Anolis sagrei: one gene and its partner. The protein of the gene in region 1 purifies or fractionates together with the protein of each later gene. This does not show direct contact. Links are inferred from orthologs where the notes say so. Each region holds a gene or a part of one and is shown on either strand. Other genes may lie near its edges.

What was found.
Region 2: the proteins of EIF4A2 (region 1) and EIF4G3 purify together in Homo sapiens (affinity purification with mass spectrometry; 3 studies listed by BioGRID and IntAct, with this or other methods). This does not show direct contact. The link is inferred for Anolis sagrei from reciprocal best matches to the Homo sapiens genes EIF4A2 and EIF4G3.

What each region holds. Positions count from the first base shown.
Region 1 is NC_090023.1:259,966,529-259,982,957, reverse strand, and holds the start of EIF4A2 (eukaryotic initiation factor 4A-II), read left to right. Parts: upstream 1-9,555; 5' UTR 9,556-9,629; coding exon 9,630-9,658; intron 9,659-15,584; coding exon 15,585-15,627; intron 15,628-15,710; coding exon 15,711-15,843; intron 15,844-15,940; exon of another isoform or gene 15,941-16,012; intron 16,013-16,082; coding exon 16,083-16,222; intron 16,223-16,429. UniProt on the Homo sapiens protein: ATP-dependent RNA helicase which is a subunit of the eIF4F complex involved in cap recognition and is required for mRNA binding to ribosome.
Region 2 is NC_090033.1:7,270,901-7,287,248, forward strand, and holds the start of EIF4G3 (eukaryotic translation initiation factor 4 gamma 3), read left to right. Parts: upstream 1-8,320; 5' UTR 8,321-8,409; coding exon 8,410-8,639; intron 8,640-16,348. Other genes in the region: ECE1 (endothelin-converting enzyme 1), read left to right, coding at 287-477, 705-800, 2,912-3,088. UniProt on the Homo sapiens protein: Component of the protein complex eIF4F, which is involved in the recognition of the mRNA cap, ATP-dependent unwinding of 5'-terminal secondary structure and recruitment of mRNA to the ribosome. Functional homolog of EIF4G1.

The DNA of each region.
Region 1 (16,429 bases):
AAACACTGTTTTCAGCCTAGTTTGGAAGCCCTAGTCTGTATGTTTTCTCCCTTTTTCTGCAGTGTTTGCATCCAGGCCAGAGTTAACTCTTATATCGCGGTTTCAGTAGTCAGAATTTTAAACCAATTGTAAACTGTGTAAACTGTGACAAACATGGAAATTACATTAACATAACAGTTGTAGCGATTTAATTAAATCAAAATATAAGCAATGAAAAAGGGAGTAAAAAGGGAGCAAAAGTTCTCATTTCCATCTCTTAAACTATGCTTCAGCAGGCTGTGAATTTATCATCTGAACTAAGCTAAGTACACAGAACAAAGTTGCTAACATGCCTGTAATGGGTATGATTCAGAGCTTCACAATTGGCTCAGACAGGCAAGACCTAGTTCCTCCTCACTGCTCTAAAGCCACTCTTCTATGACACAATATTGAGAGTTGGAGTTGAAACTCCTGGTAATGTTTCAAGCAGCTATACATACTGTATAAAAGAGCTAAAACTGCTGCATGTCAAAAGAGAAAGAAATATTTATCGCCCTTCTCAGCCTGGAGGCGACTTGAGGTGGTTTAGTATATTAGTATAACATACACATGAAAAGCTTCACTGGATAACTGAAAGTGTTATATTCAACACTGCAAATCACATGCATGTTTAGTCTATGTTGGATGTTTCTCTTTTTCAACTCAATGGGGATAGATTGAATCTTCTCTAGTGACACATGCAAATGAGAAAAAATGACTAATTTCCTCAGCTGTTATTTTTAATTCATTTATCTTTTTTGGCATTGGTTGAATGTTATTCCTGGATCCCTCAGCAATCTGGAATGGGGAAAAATATATTCAAAGGGACAGCAATGAATAATATCTGTGTAGGCACCTTTATCGAGACTATTTTATCGAGACAGTCTCGATAAAATAGTAAAGAGTAGAGACATCAGACTAGCAACAAAAATCCGCCTAGTCAAAGCCATGGTATTCCCTGTTGTAACCTACGGATGTGAGAGCTGGACCTCAGGGAAGGCTGAGCGAAGGAAGATCGATGCTTTTGAGCTGTGGTGTTGGAGGAAAGTTCTGAGAGTGCCTTGGACTGCGAGAAGATCCAACCAGTCCATCCTCCAGGAAATAAAGCCCGGCTGCTCACTGGAGGGAAGGATACTAGAGACAAAGTTGAAGTACTTTGGACACATCATGAGGAGACAGCAAAGCCTAGAGAAGACAATTATGCTGGGGAAAGTGGAAGGCAAAAGGAAGAGGGGCTGACCAAGGGCAAGATGGATGGATGGCATCCTTGAAGTGACTGGACTGACCTTGAGGGAGCTGGGGGTGGTAACGGCCGACAGGGAGCTCTGGCGTGGGCTGGTCCATGAGGTCACGAAGAGTCGGAGATGACTGAACGAATGAACAACAACAACAAAGGCACCTTTAAGTCCCCTATTGAATTATAGCTTAACAACCCCAAGAATTTCACAATGTTTTCTTAAACAAAACAAAACAAAACAAAAAAAACTACTCAGAGGTGCTTAACAGGTAAAATATTACCTTGTCCTTTTAGGGTATTTAGACTCTTGTACCAATTATGTTAAAATCATTTATTCCTCATTGCAAAGATGGAAGAAAAGAAAACACAGAATAAAAACCACTAAAGAGTCCAGGTAAAATATGTGGCTCCCTCCCATCTACTCTTTCACTAACCCTTTGAGAGCAGACTGAGGTGAGAGACAATGATTCTAAAGCTAGTTGATACTGACAAATTCTGTGACTGATTGAATATTCAGCTTTGGTGCAACCACAAAAACAGTTTGCAAAGGTTCTGCCATTGTAGTAAACCAGCTAACAGAATCAGAAAGCTGCCAGTTCAAATGTCACATCTGTTGTGGAGCTATGTAGGTTGCCAATCACTAAAAATATCTGTACTAAGGGAACAGGAACATCTGAGCATTCAAAAATACTATACAAATGCTGGATGTTATTATTGTTGTCTTAATTATATGTGATAGCAAGGAAACAGCAACACAGTGTCCTGAAACAGCTGCAGGAATAAGCATACATAGCTGACACATTTGATAGGGACATAGGAAACCACTTTACAACAGAACCACAAGTCCATTAGCTCAGAATTATCATCTGATGGGCTATGACCTGGAGAAACCCAGCATGCAAAATATGTGCTCTGATACTGATCTATGGCTCCTCCCATAGTTTGTCTGTAACCAACAGATCTTCCATTTTCAGTCTTTGTCTTCCTAAGCACTGCTATATTTAATTAATAAATTGGTATGAGCAAAGTGACTATAACCTTACATCTCCATCACTTCCCCGAGTTTGCTGAATGATTAATCTGCCTCATTCCAATTGTCACCTTCATTTTTCTGAATGCTCTTAATTCTTTCCTCTCTTTTTCAAGCCTTCTTTTTCCTTCTTCCACTTTTCTTCAAGATGCCCATTCTCCCCTTACATTATATGTCCCCTTCTACACTGCCATATAATGCAGATATAATCAAAGCAGATAATCTGGATTTTATATGGCAGTGTAGAAGGGACCTAAATTCTCCTCTTTCCATCACCACCCAATCCCTTCTTGCTCTTTCCTCCATGGCTTTTTTTTTCTACCAGTTTTTAGCATTCATACAATTCAGTATCTTTATCTGTCTGTTAATAACTTAAAACATTTGCCATATACATTAGCTATGGATTTAAATTCTTTGTCCTAACACAAATCTCATGAAACTGAAGATAATAATTTTATACTGTGAACAGAGAACTAAAAGGGCAAGAGAGCAATTTTCTGAAGGAACAGTTTATACAAGAGGAAAGATTTCTACTAGATTTCTACTAGTTGAAACATTCACACCTAGCTCCAGCAGACAAGAGTCCTTTGTTTCACCCTGGTCATTCCACAGATATATAAACCCTTTTTCCTAGTTCCAACAGACCTCACTACCTCTGAGTATGCTTGCCATAGATGCAGGCGAAACGTCAGGAGAGAATGCCTCTGGACCATGGCCATATAGCCCGAAAAAACCTACAACAACCCAATTTCTACTACACATTCTCTAAATGTGCTGAAATCTAACTTCCAGCTGGTTGAGGGTGACGGGAATTGCACTACATATCATATGAGAGTTGCTGGGTGGGGAAGGGTCTTGGAGCACAGTTGGCACTAAATAAACACCAGCTATTTCTAGCAGTCTTTTTTTCTGTTTCCTTATTCAGTCCTATTTCCATCAGACCCTATCTATCTACACTGCCATAGATTAATTTTAATTGCATTGAATCTGATTATATGAGTTTAGTGCAGACATGGGCCAACTTGGGCCCTCCAGGTGTTTTGGACTGCAACACCCACAAAACACCCGGAGGGCCCAAACTGGCCCATGCCTGGTCTAGTGCCACTTAATGCAATTCAATGCAGACTCTCCTACTTCCTCAGATTTCTTCTTTCCCTTTTCTCATTTCCAATTATTTGCCTGCCTTGAAATTCTTCCCCACTTATGGCAACTCTCTCACGGGATCTTCTTGGTAAGATTTGTTCGGAAGAGGTTTGCCATTGCCTTTCTGAGGATGAGAGAATGTGACTTGCCCAAGGTGATTAGTTGTATGGCAGCAATTTGCAGAGCCATAATCCAAACACACTACCTTTCAATTCTTTTCAAATTAATTATTTTATTCCTTTCTGACCCAAACCTTTTATTGAGGGTGTTTTATTGATCTTTTTTTTTTAACTTGTTGAAATGATTTTAAAATGATTAATGTAGGGATTAAGTATTTCTATATGTTTTTCTCATTTATTACATGAAATAAATGATTTGATTCCTACATAACCTTATTTCATTTACAGGCATCCTTTGGCCAAGGTGGCTCCTAAAGGTTGGCAATTAACAACATTTAAAGCACATAAAGTCCTTCATAGAGCATTTAAAAAAAACAATTTTTAAAAAAGATAAACAAAAAATTCCCAATAAAAAACTCTCTTCTAAAGTTCCAAATTTTCCATATTGCAGACAAGAGAACTAAAATTTAGAAAATTTTCAAAGACTGTGGTGCTACCTTTCTAGCATCGCTATTTAACAAAATCATAACAGAAAAATCACCCCCAAGCAGGGGCGGCTCAACCCAATGCAAAGTAAGCATTTGCAGTATAGTTGATTTTGCCCAGGGGCGCTCTTGAGGCGCTCTTGGGGGAAAATAGACCTTGACATATGGGAATTGTAGTTATTGGGATGTCTAGTTCACCTACAATCAAAGAGCATTCTGAACTCCACCGATAATGGAATTGAACCAAATATGGCACACAGAACTCCCACGACGAACAGAAAATATATATCAGTGATTGGTTGGGGCGGGGGAGGGGGGGGCAAAATACTTTTTGCTTACCGTTGAAAATTACCTAGTGCCGCCTCTGCCCCCAAGGACTGGACTACTAATATAACCAAACCAATTTGGAAGGGCAAAGGAGACATATGTAATTGCTCAACATACCGCCCAATACGCCTATTGTGTCATGCAATGAAAGTATTTGAAAAAATACTGGACAAAAAGCTAGTAAGTCACACAGCAGTTAACCAAATCAGTGTGGCTCTGTCTAGGGGTGTGGCACAATGGATGCAATATATGCTGTCCAGTTACTCATGGAAAAACATCAGGAAAGGAAACCAAGGAACTTTGTATTCCTTCATCTCAAAAAAGGCATTTGATTGGGTTCTTAATGACCTGATCTGGTGAGCACTACAGTCAAATGGAATACCTGAAGACTATGTAATATGGATAAAACTACTATACAATAATACAACAAGTATGGTCCACAGCCTTGCAGGGATTTCACCACCCTTCAACGTCACTGTTAGTATGCATCAGGGATCAGCACTCTTGCCATTACTATTCATACTCTGCATGGACACGGCTAAAGACTAGGAATACAAACGATCAGCAACAAAATGCAGGAAGCAAGGCTACGATGGTACGGCCATGTCATAAGAAGAGAATCATCAGCAGCACAAGCAGCACTGCATTTGGAGATTGCAGAACGCAGACGTGGACAAAGGCCAAAGAAAAGATGGATGGACACCATCAATGAAGACATGCATGCCGCCAACCTGAGACTTCAGGATGCCCAAAACAAAGCCCTGTGGAAACAGCAGTAACAATGCTAACAGCACCATGGGAAAATTGCTTAGAAAGAAGATGAATTGATAGGATACTGCATTTGGAGATTGCAGGACAGCGACCACATGGACAAAGGCCAAAAGAAAGATGGATGGACACCAAACTGAGAAGGCCCAAAACAAAGGATGGATGGGTGGCTGGATAGACAGATGGATACTACAGCACTGCATTTGGAGACTGCAGGACAGCAATCTCCAAAGGCCAGAGGATGCTAAAAACAAAGTCCCGTGGAAACAAATAACAGTCACAATGCTAACCCCTCCATGGGAAAATAGCTTAGAAAGAAGATAGATGGATGGATAAATACATACTACAGCATCATAATAAATTGTGGCAAGTTCTTAGTGGTATGGGCATACCAAATCACCTTGTGTCTCCCCTGAGGACTCTGTATAACGACCAAGTAGCAACAGTAAGAACTGACCATGGAACAACAAACTGGTTCATGATTGGGAAAGGCGTACAGGAGGGTTGTATACTCTCACCCAACCTATTCAACTTGTATGCAGAACACATCATGCAATGTGTTGGGCTTGATGAATGCAAGGCTGTGGTAAAAATTTCTGGAAGAAACATTAACAACCTTAGATATGAAGATGATACCACTTTGATGGCCAAAAGCGAGGAGGAGCTGAGGAGCCTTCTAATCAAGGTGAAAGAAGAAAGTGCAAAAGCCGGGTTGCAGTTAAACATTAAAAAACCAAGATTATGGCAACAAGAATTATTGATAACTGGCAAAAAGAGGGACAAAACGTGGAGGCAGTGACAGACTTTGTATTTCTAGGTGCAAAGCTTACTGCAGATGCAGACTGCAGCCAGGAAATCAAAAGACGTTTACTTCTTGGGAGGAGAGCAATGACAAATCTCAATAAAATAGTGAAGAGACATCACGCTGGCAACGAAGATCCGCATAGTCAAAGCAATGGTATTCCCCACAGTCACCTGCGGATATGAGAGCTGGACCTTAGGGAAGGCTGAGCGAAGGAAGATAGATGCTTTTGAATTGTGGTGTTGGATGAAAGTTCTGAGAGTGCCTTGGACCGCGAGAAGATCCAACCAGTCCATACTTCAGGAAATAAAGCCCGACTGCTCATTGGAGGAATGGATATTAGAGGCAAAGATGAAGTACTTTGGCCACATAATGAGAAGACAGGAAAGCTTAGAGAAGACAATTATGCTGGGGGAAATGGAAGTAAAAAGGAAGAGGGGCCGACCAAGGGCAAAATGGATGGATGGCATCCTTGAAGTGACTGGCTTGACCTTGAAGGAGCTGGGGTGGTGACGGCCGACAGGGAGCTCTGGCATGGGCTAATCCATGAGGTCATGAAGAGTTGGAAGCAACTGAACGAATGAACAACAACAACACAGCACTGCATTTGGAAATTGCAAGATGGCAACCATGTGGCCAAAGGAAAGATGGACACCATCAATGAAGATGTGCATGCTGCCAAGCTGAGACCTGAAGAAGCCCAAAACAAAGCCCTGTGGAAACAAATGCGTCACAATGCTAACCTCTCCATGGGAAAATAACTTAGAAAGAAGATGGATAGATACAATAGGTGGCTGGGTAAATAAATAGGTGTACTACAGCACTGCATTTGGAGATTGCAGGACCGTGGCTATGTGGACAAAGGCCAAAGAGAAGATGGATGAATACTATCAACGAAGACATGTGTGCTGCCAGCCTGAGAATGCCCAAAACATTGTCCCGTGGAAACAACAGCCACAATACTAACCCCTCCATTGGGAAAATAGGTCAGAAAGAGGAAGATTGAAAAGCTACTCTTCTCTCATTGCTTGTTCTCTCATAGAATCATAGAATCCTAGAGTTGGAAGAGACCTCATGGGCCATCCAGTCCAACCCCGTCAAGAAGCAGGAATATTGCATTCAAAGCATCCCTGACAGATGGACATCCAGCCTCTGTTTAAAAGCTTCTGAAGAAGGAGCTTCCACCACATTCCAGGGAAGAGAGTTCCACTGCTGAACAGCTCTCACAATGGCTTCAAACTACAAGAGAGGAGATGCCATCTGAACACGAGGAAGAACTTCCTGACTGTGAGAGCCGTTCACCACTGGAATTCTCTGCCCCGGAGTGTGGTGGAGGCTCCTTCTTTGGAAGCTTTTAAACAGAGGCTGGATGGCCATCTGTCAGGGGTGATTTGAATGCAATATTCCTGCTTCTTGGCAGAATGGGGTTGGACTGGATGGCCCATGAGGTCTCTTCCAACTCTTTGATTTTATGATTCTATGATTCAGGAAGTTCTCCCTCATGTTCAGATGGAATCTCCTTTCTTGTAGTTTGAAGCCATTGTTTCTTGTCCTAGTCTCTAGGGAAGCAGAAAACAAGCTTGCTCCCTCCTCCCTGTGGCTTCCTCTCACATATTTATACATGGCTATCATATCTCCTCTCAGCCTGGGACATGTGGTGCAGGGCAGGAATATGTTGCCTGCAACAAATCCAGAAATAATGTCTTCCTGGTCAAGTTTACGCTGGATGACAATTTTTTCAACATTTTCATTTGGCAGAATGGGGTTGGACTGGATGACCTTTGGTATTTCAAAGAATCATAGAATCAAAGAGTTGGAAGAGACCTCATGGCCCATCCAGTCCAACCCCATTCTGTCAAGAAGCAGGAATATTGCATTCAAATCACCCCTGACAGATGACCATTCAGCCTCTGTTTAAAAGCTTCCAAAGGAGCCTCCACCACACTCCGGGGCAGAGAGTTCCACTGCTGAACAGCTCTCACAGTCTATTTATTTATTTATTTATTTACTTTGCTTATATACTGCTGTTCTCAGCCCAAGGGCGACTCACAGCGGTGTACAACATAGAAAAAACAAAATCCAAAATTCAAGACACAATCTAAAATATCCATCTAGCAATAACCAAAAACATCATCATCAAAAACGTCAAGAAGTTCTTCCCCATGTTCAGATGGAACCTCCTTTCTTGTAGTTTGAAGCCATTGCTCCATTGTGTCCTAGTCTCCAGGGAAGCAGAAAACACGCTTGCTCCCTCCTCCCTGGGGCTTCCTCTCACATATTTATACATGGCTATCATATCTCCTCTCAGCCTTCTCTTCTTCAGGCTAAACATGCACAGCTCCTTAAGCCGCTCCTCATAGGGCTTGTTCTAGAGACCCTTGATCGTTTTAGTCGCCTTCCTCTGGACACATTCCAGATTGTCAATATCTCTCTTGAATTGTGGTGCCCAGAATTGGACACAATATTCCAGACGTGGTCTAACCAAGGAGGAATAGAGGGGTAGCATGACTTCCCTAGATCTAGACACTATGCTCGTATTGATGCAGGCCAAAATCCCATTGGCCTTTTTTGCCGCCACATCACATTGTTGGCTCATGTTTATACATGGCTATCATCTCCTCTCAGCCTTCTCTTCTTCAGGCTAAACATGCACAGCTCCTTAAGCCGCTCCTCATAGGGCTTGTTCTAGAGACCCTTGATCATTTTAGTCGCCCTCCTCTGGACACATTCCAGCTTGTCAATATCTCTCTTGAATTGTGGTGTCCAGAATTGGACACAATATTCCAGGTGTGGTCTAACCAAAGCGGAATAGAGCATGGGGAGCATGACTTCCCTAGATCTAGACACTAGGCTCCTATTGATGCAGGCCAAAATCCCATTGGCTTTTTTTGCTGCCACATCACATTCCTGGCTCATGTTTATACATGGCTATCATATCTCCTCTCAGCCTTCTCTTCTTCAGGCTAAACATGCCCAGCTCCTTAAGCCGCTCCTCATAAGGCTTGTTCTCCAGACCCTTGATCATTTTTCCTCCTCACTTTTCCCCCTCATTTTATAAATTCTGGAAACCCAAATCCCTTCTAGCTTCCCCATCTTGTTTTTAGAAGCCCCTTTCTTGATTTTTTTCCCTTTTTAACCGCCTCCATTCTTTCTAATCGCTTATTTTTCCTCCCACCCCTTCCACCTCCCTTCAGGCAACAACAGGCGCCATTTTCCCTCGCTCCCTCCCAAAACACCCCCTCCCTGTTCTGATTCTCCTTACGCCCCGCCCACTCCCCGTCCGGACCAATCGCCTTCCTCCGCCGAGGCAGGGGCGGGCGAGGAAACCCCATTCACGAGACTGGGGAGAGAACGGAGTCAGTCAACAGACCAACTGCTGCAATATCCCTCCGCGTATGGCAAGCATAAAGTAGTCCCTCAAGCCTGGCTCCTTCCCCTGATTTGGATAAGGCTCTGTGACGTTTCTGTCACGGGGAGGGGTCTCTTTCCAAGCCGAGGGGTGGGTGGGACACGCCTCTGGGGCGCTCCGTGCCTCCCCCGCCCTCCCTCTCCGAATGGTAAATTTCCATACTCCTCCGCGGCGAAAGGCGAAGGAGGGAGGGGGGAGCGGGAAGTAGTTCCGGCCAACGGAACGGGTATAAAAGGCGGCTGGCGCGGAGGCTCTGCCTTTTCAGTTGAGGACAGCGGCGGGAAGCAGAACATGTCAGGCGGCTCCGCGGACTATAGCAGGTATCGCAGGAGGCGGGAAAGGGGAGGAAGGAAGCGTTGAAGGCCATTGTTTATATTCATATATACTTTATAATACATATATTTATAATATATATATATATTAAAGAGGAGCTGTTTGAAAAACAGGGCTCCGACCCCCCCTCCTTTCCCAGGCCAAATGGTTTCTTCCAGGCGGGCAGTGCGAGTGTGTGTCTCGGGAGGCCCAAATTGGAAGATACCACTTTTTAAGTAGGGGGGAACGGCAGGGAAGCCGAACCTGTGTCTTTGAAGGTTTGCAACGTCCCCGATTCCCCTCCTTTTCCAAGGCGCATGGTTTCGCCCTTGTGTGTATGCATATATGGGGAGGCCCTAATCGGAAGAGACCACTTTGGCGCAGGGAGAGGAAACAGGGAGGGGCTCCGAGACTTGCGCAACCAAGGGAGGGAGGGGGTGGAGCTCTCGCGAGAATTCGGTGGAAAAGGGAGGGGGGAGGAAAAGAAGGCCGAGAACGCACGAGCCAGGCACGCTGACGCAGCGCGCATGCGTCCTTTCAGTCCTCTTGATTTCCTCTCCCCCACCTCTTCCATTTTATTTATTTATTTGCCACACGTTTCTTATTTATTTACAGTATTTGTATACTGCTTTTCTCACCCCGAGGGGGGACTCAAAGCGGTTTACACATAAGTTATTTATTTATTTTATTTACTTTGCTTGTATACCGCAATTTCTCAGCCTTGTAGGCGACTCAACACGGTTTATGACAAGAGCAATAGTCAATCCAACAGCATACAAAATTTAAAAACCATTAACAGCATGATATACAAAATGACACATCAATAACAACACGTTAACGTCTCGTAACTAGAATCGTGATCCAATTCGTCTTCCATAATTCCGTTTCCTATATTCATCGTGTACATTGCATTGTTTAACCGGACGCCTGTTCGAACAGCCAGGTTTTTAGTTTTCTTCGAAACACCATTAACGAAGGGGCTGATCTAATGTCCGTGGGCGTTCCACAGCTGAGGGGCCACCACAGAAAAGGCCCTGTCCCTCGTCCCCGCCAGCTGTGCCTGTGATGCAGGCGGGATCGAGAGCAGGGCCTCCCCAGAAGATCTTAGAGTCCTGGTGGGTTCATAAGCAGAGATACGTTCGGATAGGTAGCTTGGGCCAGAACCGTTTAGGGCTTTAAAGGCCAACACCAGCACTTTGAATTGAGCCCGGTAGCAAATCGGCAGCCAGTGGAGCTGGTGCAGCAAAAGGAGTTGTATCCTCCCTGCGCTCCGCTCCTGTTAGTATCATGGCTGCCGCACGTTGGACTAGTTGGAGCTTCCGAGCCGTCTTCAAAGGCAACCCCACGTAGAGAGCAAAAAATTCAATGCCAGTATAAACAGTTACCATCATCATCTTTAATTACTTATTAATCAGCCTGACATGACAGCATTGAGTGACATTACCTTCCCACCGAAGCAGTACCTATTGATCTATGCACATTTCCATATTTTTGAACTGCTAGGTTGGCAGAAGCTGAGTTAATAGCAGGAGCTCACCCTGCTTCCTGGATTCGAACCACTGACCTTTCAGTCAGCAAGTTCAGCAGCTCAGTGGTTTAACCCACTGTGCCAGTGGGGGCTCCTAGATCACAGGGTCATATGCAAAGAATCAAAAGTTGGGAAACTTAGTTTTGGGGGTTATAAAAATACCTCAGTGGGAAATATAGTCTTAAAAAGTAACTTCTCAAGGGGAGTGTTCTCTCTAAGGATGTGCTAGGTTCTTCAGGCGATTTTACAGTGTACCTCCCCTGAAAGCTACCATGGAGTTGTGTTGAAAAAACTATTACGTTTCTAAAGGATACTTTATTAGAAATTGCTAGGTCTTCTAATGCAAGTCTATGGTATACTGGGAATGAAAGTAAGGTAGTTACACCCTGGAGTGTGGTGGAGGCTCCTTCTTTGGAAGCTTTTAAACAGAGGCTGGATGGCCATCTGTCAGGGGTTGGCAGGGGGTTGGACTGGACGGCCCATGAGGTCTCTTCTAATTCTTTGATTCTATGATTCTAATGGATCCCCTGTGGCCATGGGATTTTTGCACATATGTAGCCCTTTACTACAATTATCCTTATTAGTGAGGCTGGTAGAGGCAGGCCTTCCTTATTGGTGGCAACTTCAGAATCACCCACATTGAATTGTATCAATGACGTGTGCAAATGGGCTGTCCTGTGGGCAGTCTCCTCCTCATCATAATCATATTTAATTACTTATTAATCGCCCTCCATCTGAGAATGCTCTAGGCGATTTACAGCTAAATTGTAAAAGATAAAATACATACATACAAAAATTAAAAATTGACAGATCATATAAAAGGCAATTTAAAACTAAAAATAATGACTTCCAGGTTTAAATCCATTTTTGCAGTGCTGCTAGAACAAGACCCCAGGGCTTTGTTCCTTCATCTCCCAGAAGCCTTACCTACCTTTGCAAAAGGTTCCTCCTGGGCTAAATGAAAATACAGGGGGTTGTTTTCTTTGGCAGGCAGATCATTGTGGAGTTCTTAATTTATAATCTGCCTTTTCCCTCTCATGGAACCTAAGGATATATACAACACATTTGTTCTAAATCGGGTGTGGGCCAACTTTGGCCTTCCCTTCAGGTGTTTTGGATTCCAATTCCCACAAAGGGGTGCTTCGAATGGAATATTCCTGCTTCTTGGCAGGGGGTTGGACTGGATGGCCCATGAGGTCTCTTCCAACTCTATGATTCGAATTGTGGGAGTTAAAGTCCAAAACACCTGGAGAGAAAGCCAGTAATAGTATGAAAGCTGGGTCCGGAAGCTCTGGGCGTTACACTGTTTTTGCTTTTCTCCTTCGGAAGTGCTGTTTGTACAACGCAGAACTGGACACATATTATAGAAGAAAGAGTTCTTTAATGGTAAAGCCCTAATCCTTAACTGTAACCCAAAATCTTATCTTACCCTACCCTACCCTACCCTAAACCTTACCCTAACCCTCCCCTCCTTTCTATCCTTCCACCAAATGCAACTATGAATTATGTTCCCGCCCTCAGTGTGCCACTCCCCCCTTCCCGTATTCACAACCGCCATTGCGGAATGTGCTTAATGCTCGGAGCCCCCCCCCCCCAGCTGTCATACTATCACCAGAAGGCCAAAGTTGGCCCCCACCTGTTCTAAATAGTGCTTGGTTGAATTCTACTATAGTCTTTAGGTTGATTTTAGTACTGTTTGCTGCTCCCAAGTCTTTTCTTAAGACAGAAAAGCAGCACTATAAATAAATAAGATCACAAGCTGCTCCCCGTAATGCAAGCATTTGCAAGACGTATGTTCTTCACAAAGTTGTCTGGGCTGATGAAAAGGGGAACCATTGTCTAGTGCAGGCATCCTCAAACTTTTAAAACTGAGGTCACAGTCCCTCAAACTGTTGGAGGGCCGGATTATAATTTGAAAAAGAAAACAACACATGAATTCCTATGTACACTGGACATATCTTATTTGTAGTGCAAAAAACACTTAGAAACTACAAAAATTAAAATTAAGAACAATTTTAACAAATATAAACTTATTAGTATTTCAGTGAGGAGTGTGGGCCTGCTCTTGGCTGATGAGATAGGATTGTTGTGTGCTTTCAAGTCATTTCAGACTTAGGTTGACCCTGAGCGAGGGCCGGGTCTATGACCTTCTAGGGCTGTATCTGGCCCCCTGGCCTTAGTTTGAGGACCCCTGGTCTAGTGCCCTTGAATGGATAGCAGCAGGGCTGTGAAATTCTATTAAATTCAGTGCCTCAGACATCTAATTCAAAGTCCAGACTGAAGCTACAGAATCATAGTGTGATAAGGGTTAGAAGAGATGATGTGGGCCTTCCATTCCAGTCTCTTGCCATGCAGAAATTCAAAATCCAAGCACTATTGGCTGATGTCCATCCAGGTGTTGTTTAAAACCTCCAGCGCAGGTGACAACACCTCATGCCAACAGCTCTTACCTTCAAGAAATTCTCTGTAATGCTTAAGTGGAATCTCTTTCCTTGCAATTTGAATCCATTGCTCTGTGGTTTAGGGCCCTTCCACACAACCATAGAACCCAGAATATTTGTGTTGAACTGAGGCCTCTTCCACACAGCTGTACAAAATACAACATTATCAGCTTTGTACTGGTTTATAGGACAGTGTGAACTCATAAACCAGTTCAAAGCATATATTGTGGATTATCTGCCTTAATATTCTGGGTTATATGGCTGTGTGGAAGGACCCAAAGCCACAGAGCAAAGGATTCAAATTACAAGAAAAGAGATTCCACTTAAGCATTGTGGAGAATTTCCTGAAGGTAACAGCTGTGTGCTGGAGTCCCCTGCTCTGGAGGTTTTAAACGCTGAGACCACAACACCGCCATATATCCCAGTTCAGAGCAGAAAATGTGGGATTTTATTCAGCTGTGTGGAAGGGGCCCTAGTCTCCGCTGTGAGGAAAACAAGCCTGCCCTTCTCAATGTGTCATCTTTTCAAATATATAAACAATGGCTGTCATGTCCGCTCTCGGCTGCCTGTTTTCCAGAAGCCCTGGCCCAGTCATGAATTCTGGGAGATGAAGTCCAAAACAAAACATTTGAGTGCAAAGGAAAGACTGACCATTTTCTGCAGGAGAGCCAGTGTTGTTTTGGGATGTGAGAAATCAGGTTCCAGTCTTTACTGTGGTGACCTTGGGTCATCACTTCCCTCCTTGGCCTAACCTTCTCCTGAGGCTGCTAGACACTTCCATTATTATGACCTCTGTATGAAGGCAGGATGTTTCTTCATTAAGACAGTACATGTTGAACAAGTGTTGTCGGGCAAGGGCCTGATTTTGCCAGTTTGTCCACGTGTGACTATTGTGCATGTACCTTTGAGTCTCCTGTTGACCTTAGACCTTTGGCATGATCTATATTCTTTTCTTTTGGTTACCCACATAAGAAGTTATTCTTAATGGAAGCTACAGTTGAGGTAGGCTGCAGTATGAAACAATTATTAGCAGCCCTTGCTGTATGTAGTTGTGCACATCACATAAGAGTAGTAGATTCACATGAGTGAGTGAAGATATACAATTGTATTGATTAGATCAAGGGTCCTCAAACTACGGCCCGGGGGCCGGATACGGCCCTCGCTCAGGGTCAGCCTAAGTCTGATATGACTTGAAAGCACACCACCACAACAACAACAATCCTATCTCAGCCAAAAGCAGGCCCACAATCTCTGTTTAAAAGTCTCCAAAGAAGAAGCTTCCACCATACTGTAAGGCAGAGAGTTCCACTTTTGAATAGCTCTTCTTGTTATTTATGTCAAGATCACACTGCATTAAAGTTCTAGTTTGTGCTAAAGTATTCCTACTGCTAAAAACATTTAACAGCATCATATAAGTTGATGGTTTGGTAGGGTTTTATCAAATGCAATAGGATACATTGTTACTTAGTATATGAAAGATATAATATTGAGTTACCCATATCATTCATGGAATGCTAAGTGATAGCTTTCCAAAGACCACATTGTAATCATTGTGCTTGAAGTTGCAGCAAATTTCCATTAGGTTGTATGAAAATTTCAGGAGCCTTTATTAGACCAACTAGAAGGCAGTTGATTCTTTGTGTGGCCGTTAAGAGACCGAGTTTCATCTGGAAAAGATGTTTTTTTAAATTGCAGGATAATTTTAAGAGTCAAGTCTCCATGTTGTCAAACGTGCCTAGTAACCCTGAGCTCACTGGGAATAGTGAAGGCAATAGAAGAGCAATCAGATTGGGATTTGCTATTTTTTAGAAATATAGAAGTACATTATTTCTGGATTTTTAAATGTATTTAATTGTATAGGGCAGTAGTTTGGAGTGTTTAGTTTGGTATTGCAATTAGAATAAGTCACTATTGCAAGAGGTTGAGAACTCTGCCTGGCTGACAAGATTTTATTTCTTTTGACAGAGACCATGGCCCTGAGGGAATGGACCCCGATGGCGTCATTGAGGTTAGTAAATGACCCTTCTTTCATTTATCTGTATGGAAGATGTTGATGAGTGAAATAAAATGTATTTCATTTCCTCCTTGCAGAGCAATTGGAATGAAATCGTTGACAATTTTGATGATATGAATTTAAAAGAGTCCCTTCTCAGGGGAATTTATGCTTATGGTTTTGAGAAGCCGTCAGCTATCCAGCAGCGTGCTATTATTCCATGTATCAAAGGTAGGCAAATATTGCAGCAAATAATGAGTATTAGCACCATTCTTACTGGTTTGAGTTCTTTGCATTGGGGTGGAAGTAAAGCCCATCTTTCCTTGAAAAGTGAGATGATGGTATACCATCTTTCGGGACTGACCTGAAATGGAGAAAACTGTGTAACTGCTGATCACTTGTAAAGGAATTGGAACTTAAACTGTGTCCTAATGTTGTATGGGAGCAGTAAATATCTATCCTTTTTTTAGGGTATGATGTGATTGCTCAAGCTCAGTCAGGTACTGGCAAGACAGCCACATTTGCTATTTCCATCCTGCAACAGTTGGAGATTGATCTCAAGGAGACCCAAGCACTAGTGTTGGCTCCTACCAGAGAACTGGCACAACAGGTATTGATAGTGTAGTTAAACAGCTGCTTACATGTTGCATGGGTTTCAGGTTTCACAACCGTAGGAGAACTCACATTTTTGGCAGATCAGTTAATGGCTTAGCTCTGGGGTGCAAATATGGTGAACACACCTCTGCCACACTACATTCCTCTATTACATACATGGAGAAGTGTTAGCTGTGGTGATGAACGGGCCAGTGATTCTGGC
Region 2 (16,348 bases), on another chromosome or scaffold:
TGACACACCATTATTTTAAAAATATTCACCAAACATAGAGTATGATGTTGATGATGATGATGAAATCGATCCCAAGGGCCCCCCAGTGCAACCTCATTCTGCCAGGCAGGAAGACACAATCCGATCCCTCCCGACAGATAGTCATCCAAGATATGCCTAATATCTATTTATTTATTTACTGCATTTGTATACCACCTTTCTCAGCCTCATGGCAACTCAAGGTGGTTTAATAGTGATGATGATGATGGGGCCTGCCTCCTTCCGATCCTATTTATTCCCTTTGCAGGCCGGGAGTACGACAAGGAGGGCAACCTGCGTCCTTGGTGGAAGAATTCCTCGGCGGAGGCCTTCAAGCACCAGACGGAGTGCATGGTGGCGCAGTACGGCAACTACTCTGTCAACGGGGAGGCCGTCAACGGGAAGCACACCCTCGGGGAGAACATCGCCGACAACGGAGGACTCAAAGCCGCCTACCGGGTGAGGCCGCTACCCAATGGGGCGCAACAACTACCACAATATCCTGTCCAGAAGGGTGCCAGTCAAGGAGAAAGCTCTCCCCTGCAGACCCCTGAGGCCTCGGCTCAAATGGGGGCTCGTCCAGGCTCAGGTGGATCACTTGAGGCGGGGGAGTCATGGGAATCTTGAGGGTCGGCTCCTACATCGTCCTCCTTTTTTTCTTTTTTTCTTTTTTTTTGCGTATTCAGGCTTATCAGAACTGGGTGCGGAAGAATGGGGAGGAGGAGACCCTCCCAGCCCTCAGCCTCACCAACTACCAGCTCTTCTTCGTTGGGTTCGCCCAGGTACTCTGCCAAACAGTAATCATAATAATAATGCACATTATCTACCCATATAATCTATCCCTCCATCTCTGTTTTATCTATCTATCCATCTGTGTCTGTCCAACCCTCCGTCAATGGCTGTTATCAATCTATTCAAAGTAATAGAATAGTAAGTAGTAAGTATTCTATTTACTCTATCTATCCATTCATCCATCTCTATCTATTCTATCCATCCAATCATCTATCTCAAGCCTGGGCAAACTTTGACCCTCCAGGTGTTTTGGACTTCAACTCCCACAATTCCTAACAGCCTACCGGCTGTTGTCAATATATTGTATTCTATTTATTCTATCTAGCCATTCATCCATCTCTGTGTAACATATATCCATTCATCTATCTATCTATCTATCTATCTATCTATCTATCCATCCATCCATCCATCTATTTATCTATCTATCTATCTATCTATCTATCTATCTCCTATATATATACATCCATATATATATATGTGTCTATTGGTACATCATCTACCTATCCATCTATGGCTATCTATCTATCCATTCTTCCACCCATTCATCTCTCCATCTGTATCATTCCTTCCATCTGTCTATGGCTATTATCCATCTATTCTATTTATTTTATCTATCCATCTGTTCTTTCCATCCACGGCTATCTATCATCTATTCATCCATCCATTTACCAATCTATATCTATATATCTGTTTGTCCATCCGTCCACTCGTCCACCATCTATCTATCTATCTATCTATCTATCTATCTATCTATCTATCTATCTATCCCCTCATTCCATCCATCTATCTAGACGAGAGCTAGCATGGCATAGTGATTTGAGCATTATACTCTCAAGCAACCAGAGAGTGCATTTATCCGGCACCTCTTAAGCCCTTGTGTAAAGGAGGCACCCAATTAGTAACGATGCCACCAATTGGTAAAAGTTTGTAAAGGAGCCACTACTTTGTAAGGACTTACTAAATTGATAACATAACTAATAGCTTGTAACGTTGATTTGGTCTTTCTTGAATGTGTAGCGTGGCTTAACTTGAAAGTATTTGTAACAGAGACTTGGCTTTAGAAGAAACTGTAACAAGTTTATTGTAGTATAGAAGAAGCTTGATGGTTTCAATGTTTCTTAGCTCTTAGAGGCACATTTCTTCAGAGGTTACATTTAATACATTTCATAAAACAACTCTTAAGAGAACTATTCCTTTCACTAAACAGGTTTTAAACTTATTCTCCTTCAAAATGTGTTTCTTTCTTTAATTGATTACTTCAGGTACAAGCCTTTCCTTTCCCCATGCCATTTCTGTTGCAGTACAGATTCCCACCAGGCTTCTCTCCCCCTTTTGCTCACACACTGACCAACAATATAAACAAGTCAACTCGACCCATCCAAACCACACAGGCTAAAAGCCAAAATTTTCCTGATTCTCAACACAGCAGAATCAGCCTTTCCCTGCAGATCTCAGACTACAGACTACCCCACTGGCTCTCAACATACAACAGAACCAGCGCTCCCTGTAGTTCGCTGACTACAGACTGCCCGTTTTAAAATGGCTGCCCTGCCAAGTGGCAGTTGGCTCCGCCCCTTTTTCCATGGCAACCCAGCTCAAAGTGAGTTGAGCTGGCTACCATCCCTCTCCCCCCCCCCCCCCAGTTATGCTAGTTTAGATACTTACCCTTTTAAACAACTATCTATAATCAAACATAACTGTAGATTAAAACTCACACTCCACCACACCATGGGTTCACTCGGAGTGGGCTGCTTACCAGTGAGTAGGTTGCTGCCTCCTTCCTCACTCTCTGGTGTGACATACTCTCCCCTTCCTAAGCGCTCGAGGCAGGGGACGACATAGTCAAAACATACCAACATGAACAGGAAAATACATATATCACAACACACCATTATTTAAAAAAGCATACACCAAACATAGAGTATGATGTCAATGATGATGATGATGAAAGGGACCCCAAGGGCCCCCTAGTCCAACCCCATTCTGCCAGGCAGGAAGACACAATCCAATCCCTCCCGACAGATAGTCAAGCTGTGCTTAATAATGATGATGATGATGATGGGGGCTGCCTCCTTCCATTCTTTCTCTCCTTCTCTCTCAGGTCTGGTGCTCAGTCCGCACGCCGGAGAGTGCGCACGAGGGCCTGGTGACCGACTCGCACAGTCCTTCCCGCTTCCGCGTGGTGGGGACGCTCTCCAACTCAAGGGAGTTTTCGGAGCATTTCCACTGCCGCCCGGGGTCCCCCATGAACCCCGCCAGGAAGTGTGAAGTCTGGTGAAGGAGCTCCCCTTCCGGGAGGAAAGAAGGGCCACACCGGGCCGTTTCGGGCCTTCCTCTCTCTGTCGCTCGCTCTCTCTCTCTCTCGGGAAGCCTTTGCCCACAGGGAAGACTCCAAACTCGAGACTTATTGGTGGCCTTGCCTATATCCTCTCGGCGGTCCGGCGTATCCCATCATGCTGGAGGACGCTTGGATCGCCATCCGTTCCCAAAAGGCTGGTATTTTTATGCAGGGAATATAGACTCTTCTTGCCTTGAATGGGAAATCCACCAAGAAGAGAGGAGGAGGAAACCCCTTTACGCTCACACCCTTCACCGAGGCCTGCGTCATAGACACAAACACCAACGTATAGAAATAGTATTATTATTATTATTATTTTGAATCTTGCAGAACACTGGAAATTTCAGGGAACGTGTATAAAGTTGAATGGATCGGTATTTATTTCTACTTTTCGAGCGCGAGAGCATCCTGCTTGAAGCCAAAGGACGGCTGCCTGGAGCGGAAGACCCAACTCCCTTCCATCCTAAAAGCGTGGGAATCCGTTACTTTGTGGACTACGACTCCCAGGGAATTGGGATTTGGGGGAGCCGCTCTGCAGGGATATCGCTTCCAAAAGGGACCTTCGTTCTTTTTCTCCATGTCCTTCGGAATTCCCAAGTGCCTCCGGCGTCTTCTCCGGCCGACGCTTCTCCTGTCCACTTCCGCACGGTCCGGGAAAGAGGCGGAAGGCAAGCGGTTATGAGGCGGAGAAAGAAGGGTCGCCTGGGCCCCAAACCCACTCACCAGCGGTCTCTCAGTTGCTGTTGATTGTAAGAAAAACGCCCTGTGTGATCTGCACAGAGAAACGACTTCAAACCTATCTGTAACTGAGTTATGTCCCTATATGCTGAGTACATGAAGGTTGTTGAGTAAACCCTTCTGAAGAACTTCAAAAACAAAAACAAAAAAACACCAGCGGACTCTCAGGTTCAAAAAACTGATCGTTTCCATCCGAGGCTCCCACTCTTCCCACTCTTCCTCCCGCAGAATCGTGGCAATTCTTCATTTCGTCCTCCTCTTCCGGCCCCTTCTGTGACCCCAAACTGGGGCTGGACTTCCATTTGTGTCAATGTCTGGAGTGAAAGACCTTTTCTCCCCGTTTTTGAGCTTCGTTTTTCGACCTGGAGTTGGAAGCAGGAGGGCAAGGCAGTAATGTGTGTGTTTGTGTATACACATATACACATACACATCACACTGATAAATAGAAATCACTTATAAGTGTTGCCAAGGCAGTTCAAGGGGAATCATAATGCCATAACTATGCAGGCTGAAATGCCCCTCATGGACAAGTATGTGTGTGTATATTATATGTGTGTGTAAATATACATATACATAGTACATATAATCTCACTTAGAAATCACTTATAATGCAGTTCAAGTGGAGTCATAATGCCATACATTTGCAGTCTGAAATGGCCCTAAGTGCACACATGTATGTTTATATGTGTGTGTGTGTGTGTGTGTGTGTGTGTGTGTATATATATATAATCTTACTTATAAATAGAAATCACTTATAAGGCAGTTCGGGTGGAGTCATGTCATAAATGTGCAGTTTAAAATGGCCCTAAATGCATGTGTGTGTGTATACACACACACACTCATAAATAGAAATTACTTGTAAGGCAGTTCAGGTGGAGTCATGTCATAAATGTGCAGTTTGAAATGGCCCTCTAAATGCACGAGTGTGTGTGTGTGTGTATATATATACACACACAATATATGTGTGTGTGTATATATATATATACACACACACACACTCATAAATAGAAATTACTTGTAAGGCAGTTCAGGTGGAGTCATGTCATAAATGTGCAGTTTGAAATGGCCTCCTAAATGCATGTGTGTGTGTGTGTGTGTGTATATATACACACACACACGATCTATACACACACACACACACACAAACACTCATAAATAGAAATGTGCAGTTTGAAGTGGCCCTAAATGCACGTGTGCACGTGTGTGTATACACACACACACTTACTTACATACACACACTCATAAATAGAAATCACTTATAAAATACTTCAAGTGGGGTCATAATGCTATAAATATGCAGTCTGAAATGATCCTGTGTGTGTGTGTGTGTGTGTATATATATATATATATATATATAATACATTAATATGTGATACCTTCACTTCACTTAGGCAATCCCTTGTTGTCCAAGTAGGATAGTCCTCCAGGGTGGGTCAGTAGATGACTTGACCTTCATCTTCTCCCGCAGTGAGGGCATCGGTTTCCAGGTGGGAGGCAGTCCCGGACGGGGTTGGCTTGACGCGCCTTCCTCTTGGTACGTTTCTCTCTTTCGCCCTCCATTTGTGCCTCTTCAAATTCTGCAGCACTGCTGGTCACAGCTGACCTCCAACTGGAGCGCTCACAAGCCAGGGTTTCCCAGTTCTCAGTGTCTATGTCAGTTTTTAAGGTTGGCTTTGAGCCCATCTTTCAATCTCTTTTCCTGTCCTCCAACATGTTGTTTTCTGTTCTTGAGTTCGGAGTAGAGCAACTGCTTTGTGATACCTATTTGTAAGTGATTGATATATGTGTATGTGCACTTAGTGTTGACTCCAGGCTTGGGAACCCTATGACCACAGCACCACTCAAGAGTCCATAATATAAGGACTGGAGGTAAAAACAAAAAGGGAAATGTTGTGATCTCCATAGGAGAAGGAGGCGATTGGCTGGATTGGATTTCGTAGGATTTGGAGGCCTCTTTGGCCACGCGGCACCTCAATGTCTTTCCCGTACGTTTCATCCAAGAGTGCCTTGCCAAAGTGGGCTGGAAAGATGCATCCAAACACCCCAATAAGGGATGGAAATGACAAGAGAAGAGTGACGGGTTGCCGGTTTGACTTCCCTTCCTGTGCCTTAATGCCAGAATGGCCCATCACAGCCTTAATTCTCCACTTCCCCAATGTGAAATCAAGAAAAGGAGCTCATAACTCTGCGGAAACTATGAATCCCATCAGGGTTTGGATTGTTGGGGAAATCCCATCAGGGATTTGTAGTATTCCATGTTCAAATTATGTAATATATCCATGCAAGGAGGAAAAGGAAGGGAAAGAAAAGCTTTATTTTTATCTCTCTTTGTTCTTTATCTCTGTTTTGGATGACTGTAATTCCTGGCAAATGCAATAAAACAAAGCTTTTATACGACCATGTTTGTATTTCTTTGTTTACGCTCACATTTCCGCTTCCCAAAACAGACCAATGGAGCTGCCTTGCCGTTGAATGGATCCAGATCCCGGGTTTCATCCCAAATTTCTCCCTCTCTAGTTGACACATGGGACTTGGAGTACTCTTTCTCATTGTAGAATCACATTGTAGAATCCTCAGTGGGTTGAGAGCCAAAATCAAGGTCCCTACAACATCTGTTATAGAACTCTAGTATGCTGATGATAATGCAGTCTGTGCTCATTCAGACCTACAACGAAAGTTAGAGAACTCCAGTAGGCTGATGATAAGGTAGACTGCTCATTCAGAAGAGGATCTACAATGTCTTATAAAATTCCAGTATGCTGATGATAATGCAGTCTGTGCTCATTCAGAAGATCTACAATGTGTTATAGAACTCCAGTGTGTTGATCATAACGTAGTCTGTGCTCATTTAGAAGACGACCTACAATGTCTTATAGAAATTCAGTATGCTGATGATAATGCAGTCTGCTCATTCAGAAGTTCTTCAATGCCTGATATAGAACTGCAGTATGCTGATGATAATGTAGACTGTGCTCATTCAGAAGAGGACCTACAATGTCATATAAAACTCCAGTATGCTGATGATAATGCAGTCTGTGCTCATTCAGAAGGTCTTCAATGTCTGTTATAGAACTCCAATATGCTAATGATAACGTAGTCTGTGCTCATTCAGAAGATCTACAAGCCACTTTCAAAACCTTTGCAGAAGCATATGCAGGCCTCTTGGTGGCCTGTAGGCCTCGGTTTTAGCGTGCAGGCCTCCCCTACAAGTGGGCCCTGCTGTGTTGCCATGGCAACGAGAACCACTGCAAAACAGGCTTCCCAGCGTGTGGTAGGCCTCAGTCTTTCCAAAGCTGAGAATATGGTATCTATCTATCTATCTATCTATCTATCTATCTATCTATCTATCTATCTATCTATCTATCTATCTATCTATCTATCTATCTATCTATCTATCTGAGTGTATCCCCACCGGTGTTTTGGACTTCAACTCCCACAATTCCTCGCGTCCCTTCCTTTTCCCCCTCAGTCGCTTAAGCAAGAAGGCCTAGAGTGCGCCTGCGCGAAAGCTGAAAAGAGGCGGGGTGAAGGAAGACGGGCGGTCCAAAGTGCGCCTGCGCAAAAGCTGGAAAGAGGCGGAGTTGGAAGGGATGCGGGAGTTCTATAGTGCGCCTGCGCGAAAGCTGGAAGGAGGCAGGGTGAAAGGAAGGCGGGAGTCCCAGAGTGCGCCTGCGCGAAAGCTGGAAAGAGGCGGACTTGGAAGGAAGGCGGGGGTTCTACAGTGCGCCTGCGCGAAAGCTGAAAGGAGGCGGGGTGAAAGGCAGGCAGGAGTCCCAGAGTGCGCCTGCGCGAAACCTGGAAAGAGGCGGAGTTAGAAGGAATGCGGGAGTTCTACAGAGCGCTTGCGCGAAAGCTGGATGGAGGCGGGGTTGAGGGAATGTGAGGGTCCTAGAGTGCGCCTGCGCAAAAGCTGGAAAGAGGCGGAGTTGGAAGGAAGGCGGGGGTTCTACATTGCGCCTGCGCGGAAGCTGGAAGGAGGCGGGGTTGAAGGAAAGCTGGAAAGAGGCGGGGTGAAGGAAGCCGGCAAGGCGAGGATGCGCCTGCGCGAAAGCTGAAAGGAGGCGGAGCTAGTGAGCGAGCGAGGTCGGCCTTTTCCGGAGATTGCCGAAGAGCCGAGCGGCGTCGCTTGCCCTCGTCGTCATCTTCGTCCTGCCGGACTGCTGCTGGAGGCGGCCGCCGGCGCCATGTTGGAGGCCGCGCTCGGTCCGTGAGGAGAATCCGTCGGCATCGCCCGCCCGAGCGCCGCCACCGTCGGCGGGGCCTTCTCTCCGGGCTGCAGGCCGCTCTCTCTCGCCGGGACCGGCGGCCCTCCCTCATGAATAGCGGGCGAGGCGGCGGCCCGAGCGGCGGCTTCGGCGCGGCCTGAGGAGAAGGAAGGGAGGGAGGCGGGAGGGAGGGGGCGGGGAGGGAGGGAGGGAGGGAGGGGGAGGAGCGCAGGGCGCGTTGCCACGGAGACCGGCCGGGGGTGGTGGCCCGCTGGGCTGTCCCCGCCGCCGCCGGCCTGGGCCTGGCTCCGCCTCGCCATGAGCCTCCCGCACAAGACGGCCCTCAAGCCCGGAGCGGGACCGGGGGCGGCGGGGGCGGCGGGAGGAGGGGCACCGGGAGCAGGGGCGGGGGGCGGCGCCGGGGGAGCGCTCCCGCCGCCTCCGCCACCTCCCCCGCCGCCCCTCTCCCCGCTCCCGGCCGCCCCCCCGCCGCCCCCCTCCGCCGCCGCCGCGCCCCCGCCCCCCATCCGCGCCCTGCAGGGGGGACCGTATCCTTCCCGCCTCTGGATCCAGGGGACAGGGAGGGGGGTCCGGCTGGAGGGCCACTGGGGGCCCTGCCAACTCTGGGGTTCCATTATTGTTGTTGTCATTATTATTATCAAGCAGGGCTGGATGGCCACCTGTCAGGAGGGCTTGCCTGGTGTCTTCCTGCCTGGCAGGAGTAGGATTGAACTGGGTGGCCATTGAGGTCCCTGCCAACTCTGGGGTTCCATTATTATTATTGTTGTTATTATTATCAAGCAGGACTGTATGGCCACCTGTCAGGAGGGCTTGCCTGGTGTCTTCCTGCCTCAACTGGGTGGCCTTTGGGGTCCCTTCCAACTCTGGAGTTCCATTATTGTTGTTATTACCAAGCAGAGCTGGGTGGCCACCTGTCAGGAGGGCTTGCCTGGTGTCTTCCTGCCTGGCAGGAGTAGGATTGAACTGGGTGGCCATTGGGGTCCCTGCCAACTCTGGGGTTCCATTATTATTGTTGTTATTATTATCAAGCAGGGCTGGATGGCCACCTGTCAGGAGGGCTTGCCTGGTGTCTTCCTGCCTGAACTGGGTGGCCATTGGGGTCCCTTCCAACTCTAGGGTTCCATTATTATATTGTTGTTATTATTATTATTGTTATGAAGCAGAACTGGGGGGCCACCTTTCAGGAGGGCTTGCATGGTGTCTCCCTTTCTGGCAAAACTGGGATTGAATTGGGTGGCCATTAGAGTCCCTTCCAATTCTAGGGTTCTATAATTGTTATTGTTATTAGTATTATCAAGCAGAGCTGGGTGGCCACCTGTCAGGAGGGCTTGCCTGGTGTCTTCCTGCCTGAACTGGGTGGCCATTGGCGTCCCTGCCAACTCTAGGGTTCCATTATTGTTGTTATTATCAAGTAGAGCTGGGTGGCCACCTGTCAGGAGGGCTTGCCTGGTGTCTTCCTGCCTGGGAGGATTGGGATTGAACTGGGTGGCCATTGGGGTCCCTTCCAACTCTGGGATTCCATTATTATTATTATTATTATTATTATTATTATTTTCAAGCAGAGCTGGGGGGGGGGGGGTCACATGTCGGCAGGGCTTGCCTGGTGTCTTCCTGTCTGGCAAGACTGGGATTGAACTGGGCAGCCATTGGGGTCCCTTCCGACTTCTATAATAGTTATTGTTATTATCATGCAGGGCTGTATGGCTTCCCTGGTGTCTTCCTGCCTGGCAAGATTGGGATTAAACTGAATGGTCGTTGGAGTCCCTTCCAACTTCTATAATTGTTATTGTTATTATCATGCAGGGCTGTATGGCCACCTGTCAGGAGGGCTTGCCTGGTGTCTTTCTGCCTGGCAGGATTGGGATTGAACTTCCAACTCTAGGGTTCCATTATTATCATTAGTAGTAGTATTATTATAGTTATTATTATTGTTATTATGGCTACCTGTCAGGAAGGCTTGCCTGGTGTCTTCCTGTCTGGCAAGATTGGGTTTGAACTTGATGGCCATTGGGGTCCCTTCCAACTCTAGGTTCCAGCTTTTTTATTATTATTATTATTATTATTATTATTGTTATTTTCAAGCAGAGCTGGGGGGTCACGTGTCGGGAGGGCTTGCATGGTGTCTTCTTGTCTGGCAAGTTGGGATTGAACTGGATAGCCATTGGGGTCCCTTCCAACTTCTATAATAGTTATTGTTATTATCATGCAAGGCTGTATGGCCACCTGTCAGGAGGGCTTGCCTGGTGTCTTCCTGTCTGGCAGGATTGGGATTGAACTTCCAACTCTAGGGTTCCATTATTATTATTAGTATTATTAGTATTATCAAGCAGAGCTGTGTGGCCACCTGTTGGGAGGGCTTGCCTGGTGTCTTCCTGCCTGGCAGGATTGGGATTGAACTGGGTGGCCATTGGGGTCCCTTCCAACTTCTATAATTGTTATTGTTATTATCATACAGGGCTGTATGGCCACCTGTCAGGAGGGATTCCCTGGTATCTTCCTGCCTGGCAGGATTTGGATTGAACTGGGTGGCCACTGGGGTCCCTTTCAACTCTGGGGTTCCATTATTATTATTATTATTATTATTATTATTATTATTATTATTATTATCAGGCAGAGCTGGGTGGCCACCTGTCGGGAGGCCTTGCATGGAGTCTTCCTGTCTGGCAAGATTGGGATTGAACTGGATGGCCAATTGGGGTCCCTTCCAACTCTAGGCTTCTATAATTGTTATTGTTATTGGTATTATCAAGCAGAGCTGGGGGGCCACGTGTTAGGAGGGCTTGCCTGGTTTCTTCCTGCCTGGCAAGATCGGGATTGAACTGGGTGGCCATTGGGGTCTTTTCCAACTTATATAATAGTTATTTTTATTGTTATTATCATGCAGGGCTGTATGGCTTCCCTGGTGTCTTCCTGCCTGGCAAGATTGGGATTGAACTGGGTGGCCATTGGGGTCCCTTCCAACTTCTATAATAGTTATTTTTATTGTTATTATGTCAGGAGGGCTTGCCTGGTGTCTTCTTGCCTGGCAGGAGTGAGGGGGTTGGACTGAGTCCCAACTCTAGGGTGATATTATTATTATTATTATTATTATTATTATTATTATTATTATCCAGTGCTAGGGTTCTGTTGTTATCAAGCAGAGCTGGATGGCCACCTGTCAGGAGGGCTTGGATGTGTGTTCCTCCCTGGCAGAAATGGTGGAGTTCGACTGGATGGCCATTGCAGTCCCCTCCAGCTCAGGGGTTCCATTATTATTATTGTTATTGTTATCAAGCAGAGCTGGGTGGCCACCTGTTGGGAGGGCTTGCATGCTGTCGTCTTGCCTGGCAGGAGTGAGTGGGGTTGGATTGAGCCCCTTCCAACTCTAGGGTGCTATTATTATTATTATTATTATTATTATTATTAATACTATCAAGCAGGCCTGGATGGACACCTGTTGAGAGGGCTTAGATGGTGTCTTCCTGCCTGGTAGAATTAGGGTTGGTCTTTATGGCCATTGGGGTCCCTTCCAGTGCTAGGGTTCTGTTGTTGTTATCAAGCAGAGCTGGATGGCCACCTGTTGGGAGGGCTTGAATGTGTGTTCCTCCCTGGCAGAATTAGGTTTGGACTGGAAGGCCATTGGAGTCCCTTCCAACTCTGGGGATCTATTATTATTATTATTATTATCATCATCATCATCATCATCATCAAGAAGAGCTGGATGACCACCTGTCGGGAAGGCCTGGATGGTGTCTTCCTCCCTGGCAGAATTAGGGTTGGACTGAATGACCATTGAGGTCCCTTCCAACTCTAGACTTCTATTATTATTATTATCATTATCATCATCATCATCATCATTAAGTAGAGCTGGATGGACACCTTTGATATGTATTCCTGCCTCACGGAATTGGGGTTGGACTGGATGATCCTGGAGTCCCTTCCAACCCTTCCATCATCAAACAGAGCTGGATGTCCACCCATCAGGAGGGCTTTGATGTGTCTTCCTGCCTGGCTGGATTGGGCGCGAACTGGATGGTTGTTGGGATCCCGTCCAACTCTATTATTGTTGTTATTGCTTGAGGTGGGTTCAGAGTCGCAAGGGTGTCTCTGTTTACTGTTTGGGTTTAATTTCCCTATGTCCTGCCTTTGACTGCCTCCTCCCTGTTTTCCGAATGAAGTTTTGCAGACTTATAGTTTCTCTTTCACTTTGTTTATGGATTTCTGTGGCCACCTCCTGCTGTGCTTGTGTTTGTTGCCTGCCTGTGTTGGATGTGGGATGTTCAATGACGTTCTGGTTTGTTTGGGTTGGCAACCATCTTTATTATTTGGGTCACGTTGTGTTGGAAATGTTGTATTTCCTTGCGATGAACTCCATTGACCCCCTTGAATCTACAAAACTAAGTTATCATTGGCATATTAGAGTTCTGTAACAGACGTAGGTCTTCTTCTGAATGAGCACAGACTACGTTATCATTGGCATACTGGAGTTTTATAGCAGGTCTTTTTCTGAATGAGCACAGACTACATTATCATCAGCATATTGAAGTTCTATAACAGGTCTTCTGAATCAGCACAGACTATGTTATCATTTGCATATTGGAATTCTGTAATAGGTCTTCTGAATGAGCACTGACTATATTAGCATCAGCATATTGGACTTCTATGATAGGTCTTCTGAATGAGCACAGACTATGTTAGCATTGGCATATTGGAGTTCTATATCAGGTCTTTTTCTGAATGAGCACAGAGTATGTTTTCATCGGCATGTTGGAGTTCTATATCAGGTCTTTTTCTGAATGAGCACAGACTACATTTTCATCAGCGTATTGGAGTTCTATAACAAGTCTTCTGAATGAGCACAGGCCATGTTATCATCAGCATATTGGAGTTCTATATGACGGCTTTTTCTGAATGAGCACAGACTACGTTATCATCGGCATATTGGAGTTCTATAGCAGGTCTTCTTCTGAATGAGCACAGACTACATTTTCATCGGCATATTGGGGGCACCTTGGGGAAAGCCATTCTTCCCGGTCCCAGGAGAGAATAATCTCCTTCCTTCTTAAGGGAAGTCCTTGCTTTGGCCTGCTTTTCCTTCCTCCAAGCAGTTCCTTTTTCTGGCTTTGGCCCTTCTTTTGGCATTGGGGGTGAGGGCTAGGGCTTGCCCCCTTTCTTTGTGGGCGGGGTGCTTTTCCCACCCTTCTTTTCAGCAGACTTTGAAGCCGCCCTTGACATGCTTTCTTTTGCTTTTCTGAAGAAGCGGACAGGAAATGGCCAAATAAAGGGCCTGCGCACAGTTTGCAGAACAAGAAAAAGGGACTCTTTGGAAGGGACTCTTTCCTGGGAAGGAAGTTGGCTTTCTGAATGCCGTGCGCAGCACAGGCCAGGCAGGGCTGGCAGGGCATTAATGGGTGCCATTTATCAATGGAGAATAGTCCTGCGTCTCCCGCCTGCAGGTCCATTGGCCCTACGTCTCTCTCTTCCCAGGGCTCAGCCCTGCATTTTATTTTATTTATTTATTTATCGTGTCAGGGGCAACCAGACAATTGTATTACATTTTTAACAGAACAAAACAAACAGACAGACAAAACACAAAGTTTGCAAGCTTGGTAGTTGATTAAATGTCCTTTGACCAGTATCAGGCCAGTTGGAGTGCCTCTGGTGTTGCCACAAGGAGGTCCTCCATGGTGCATGTGGCAGGGTTCAGGTTGCATTGCAGCAGGTGGTCAGTGGTTTGCTCTTCTCCGCACTCGCATGTTGTGGATTCCATTTTGTAGCCCCATTTCTTGAGGTTGGCTCTGCATCTTGTGGTGTCAGAGCGCAGTCCGTTTAGCGCCTTCCAAGTTGCCCAGTTTTCTGTGTGCCCAGGGGGGAGTCTCTCATTTGGTATCAGCCATTGGTTGAGGTTCTGGGTTTGAGTCTGCCACTTTTGGACTCTCGCTTGCTGGGGTGTTCCAGCGAGTGTCTCTGTAGATCTTAGAAAACTATGTCTTGATTTAAGTCGTTGACGTGCTGGCAGATACCCAAACAAGGGATGAACTGGAGATGTCACTGCCTTGGTCCTTTCACTATTGGCTGCTACTTCCTGGCGGATGTCAGGTCGTGCAATACCAGCTAAACAGTGTAATTTCTCCAGTGGTGTAGGGCGCAGACACTCCGTGATAATGCGGCATGTCTCATTAAGAGCCACATCCACTGTTTTAGCATGGTGAGATGTGTTCCACACTCAGCAGCAGAGTAGCATAGCGCAAGGACAGATGTCTTCACTGTGTCTGGTTGTGATCCTCAGGTTGTGCCAGTCAGCTTTTTTATGATATTATTTCTAGCGCTCACTTTTTACTTGATATTCAGGCAGTGCTTCTTGTAGGTCAGAGCACGGTCCAGAGTGACTCCCAGGTATTTGGGTGCGCTGCAATGCTCCAGTGGGATTCCTTCCCAGGTAATCCTCAGAGCTCGGGATGCTTGTCTGTTCTTGAGGTGAAAGGCACATGTCTGTGTTTTAGGTGGATTAGGGATCAGCTGGTTTCCCCTGTAATAGGCAGTAAGAGCACCTAGAGCTTCAGAGAGCTTCTGTTCAACCATTTCAAAGCTCCCTGCTTGAGCGGTGATGGCACGATCGTCAGCATAGATGAAACACTCTGTCCCTTCTGGCAGTGGCTGGTCATTTGTGTAAATGTTGAACATGGATGGAGCAAGCACGCTCCCCTGAGGTAGGCTGTTTTTCTGTTTCCGCATCTGCTTCTCTGGCCCTGGAACCCAACAAAAAAGCTCCTGTTTTGTAGCAGGTTTCCTATGAGGCGGGTGAGGTGGTAATCCTTTGTGGTATTATACATTTTTCTCAGGAGGAGGCGGTGGTTTACAGTATCATAAGCTGCTGGCAGGTCTATGAAGACAGCTTCTGTGAAGACCGCCCTGCATTGAGTTGAATATTCCAGGTATTTGTTTACTTATTGTGTCAGAAGCGAGTTGAAGGTAAAGTTAACATGTCTTTAAAAACACAAAGGTTGAAAACTTGGCATGATGCTAAATGTCCTTTGACCAGAGGCTGGCCACTTGGCGTGCCTCTGGTGTGGCTGTGAGAAGGTCCTCCCTGGTGCATGTGGCAGGGCTCAGGCTGCATTGTCGTGAGTGGTCTGTGGTTTGCTCTTCTCCGCACTCGCATGTCGTGGACTCTGCTTTGTGGCCCCATTTCTTAAGGTTGGCTCTGCATCTCGTGGTGCCAGAGCGCAGCCTGTTCAGTGCCTTCCTAGTTGTCCAGTCCTCTCTGTGCACAGGAGGGAGTTTCTCATCCAGTCTCAGCCACTGATTGAGGTTCCAGGTTTTAGCCTGCCGCTTTTGGGCTCTTGTTTGCTGAGGTGTTCCTGCGAGTATCTCTGTAGATCAACGTTTCTCAACCCGAGGGTCGGAACTCTTGGGGGGGTCGCGAGGGGGCGTCAGGGGGGGGGTCACCAAAGACCATCTCTCATTTCTCTCTGAAAAATCCTATCCTAGTTATATTTTACCTTGTTCACGTCAGCATATTTTCAATTTTAATCTATTACATTTGGCCCGGCCATTTTTAAAATTGTGTATATCACTATTGATTGTTTTTTGTTTATGTGATTTATATGATTTATATGATTTGTATTTTATTGATTGTTTATTGATGTTGTGTTTATTGGTGTTTTGTTTGATGTACTTTGGGCTTGGCCTCATGTAAGCTGCACCGAGTCCCTTGGGGAGATGGTAGCGGGGTACAAATAAAGTTTATTATTATTATTATTATTATAGTATTTTCTGTTAGTATGGGGGTTCTATAGGTGAAGTTTGGCCCAATTCTATCATTGATGGAGTTCAGAATACTCTTTGATTGTAGGTGAACTATAAATCCCAGTAACTACAACTCCCAAACTCAAGGTCCATGCCCACCAAACCCTTCCAATATTTTATGTTGGTCATGGAAGTTCTGTGTGCCAAGTTTGGTTCAATTCTATCGTTGGTGGGGTTCAGAATGCTCTTTGATTGTAGGTGAACTATAAATCCCAGCAACTACAACTCCCAAATGACAAAAATTAACCCCCCCCCCCCCTCCCATCCCACCAGTATTCAAATTTGGGTGTATCAGGTATTTGTGCCCAGTTTCGTCCAGTGAATGAAAATACATCCTGCATATCAGATATTTACATTACGATTTGTAACAGTAGTAAAATTACAGTTATGAAGTAGCAACGAAAGTAATTTTATGGTTGGGGGTCACAACAGGAGGAACTGAATTAAG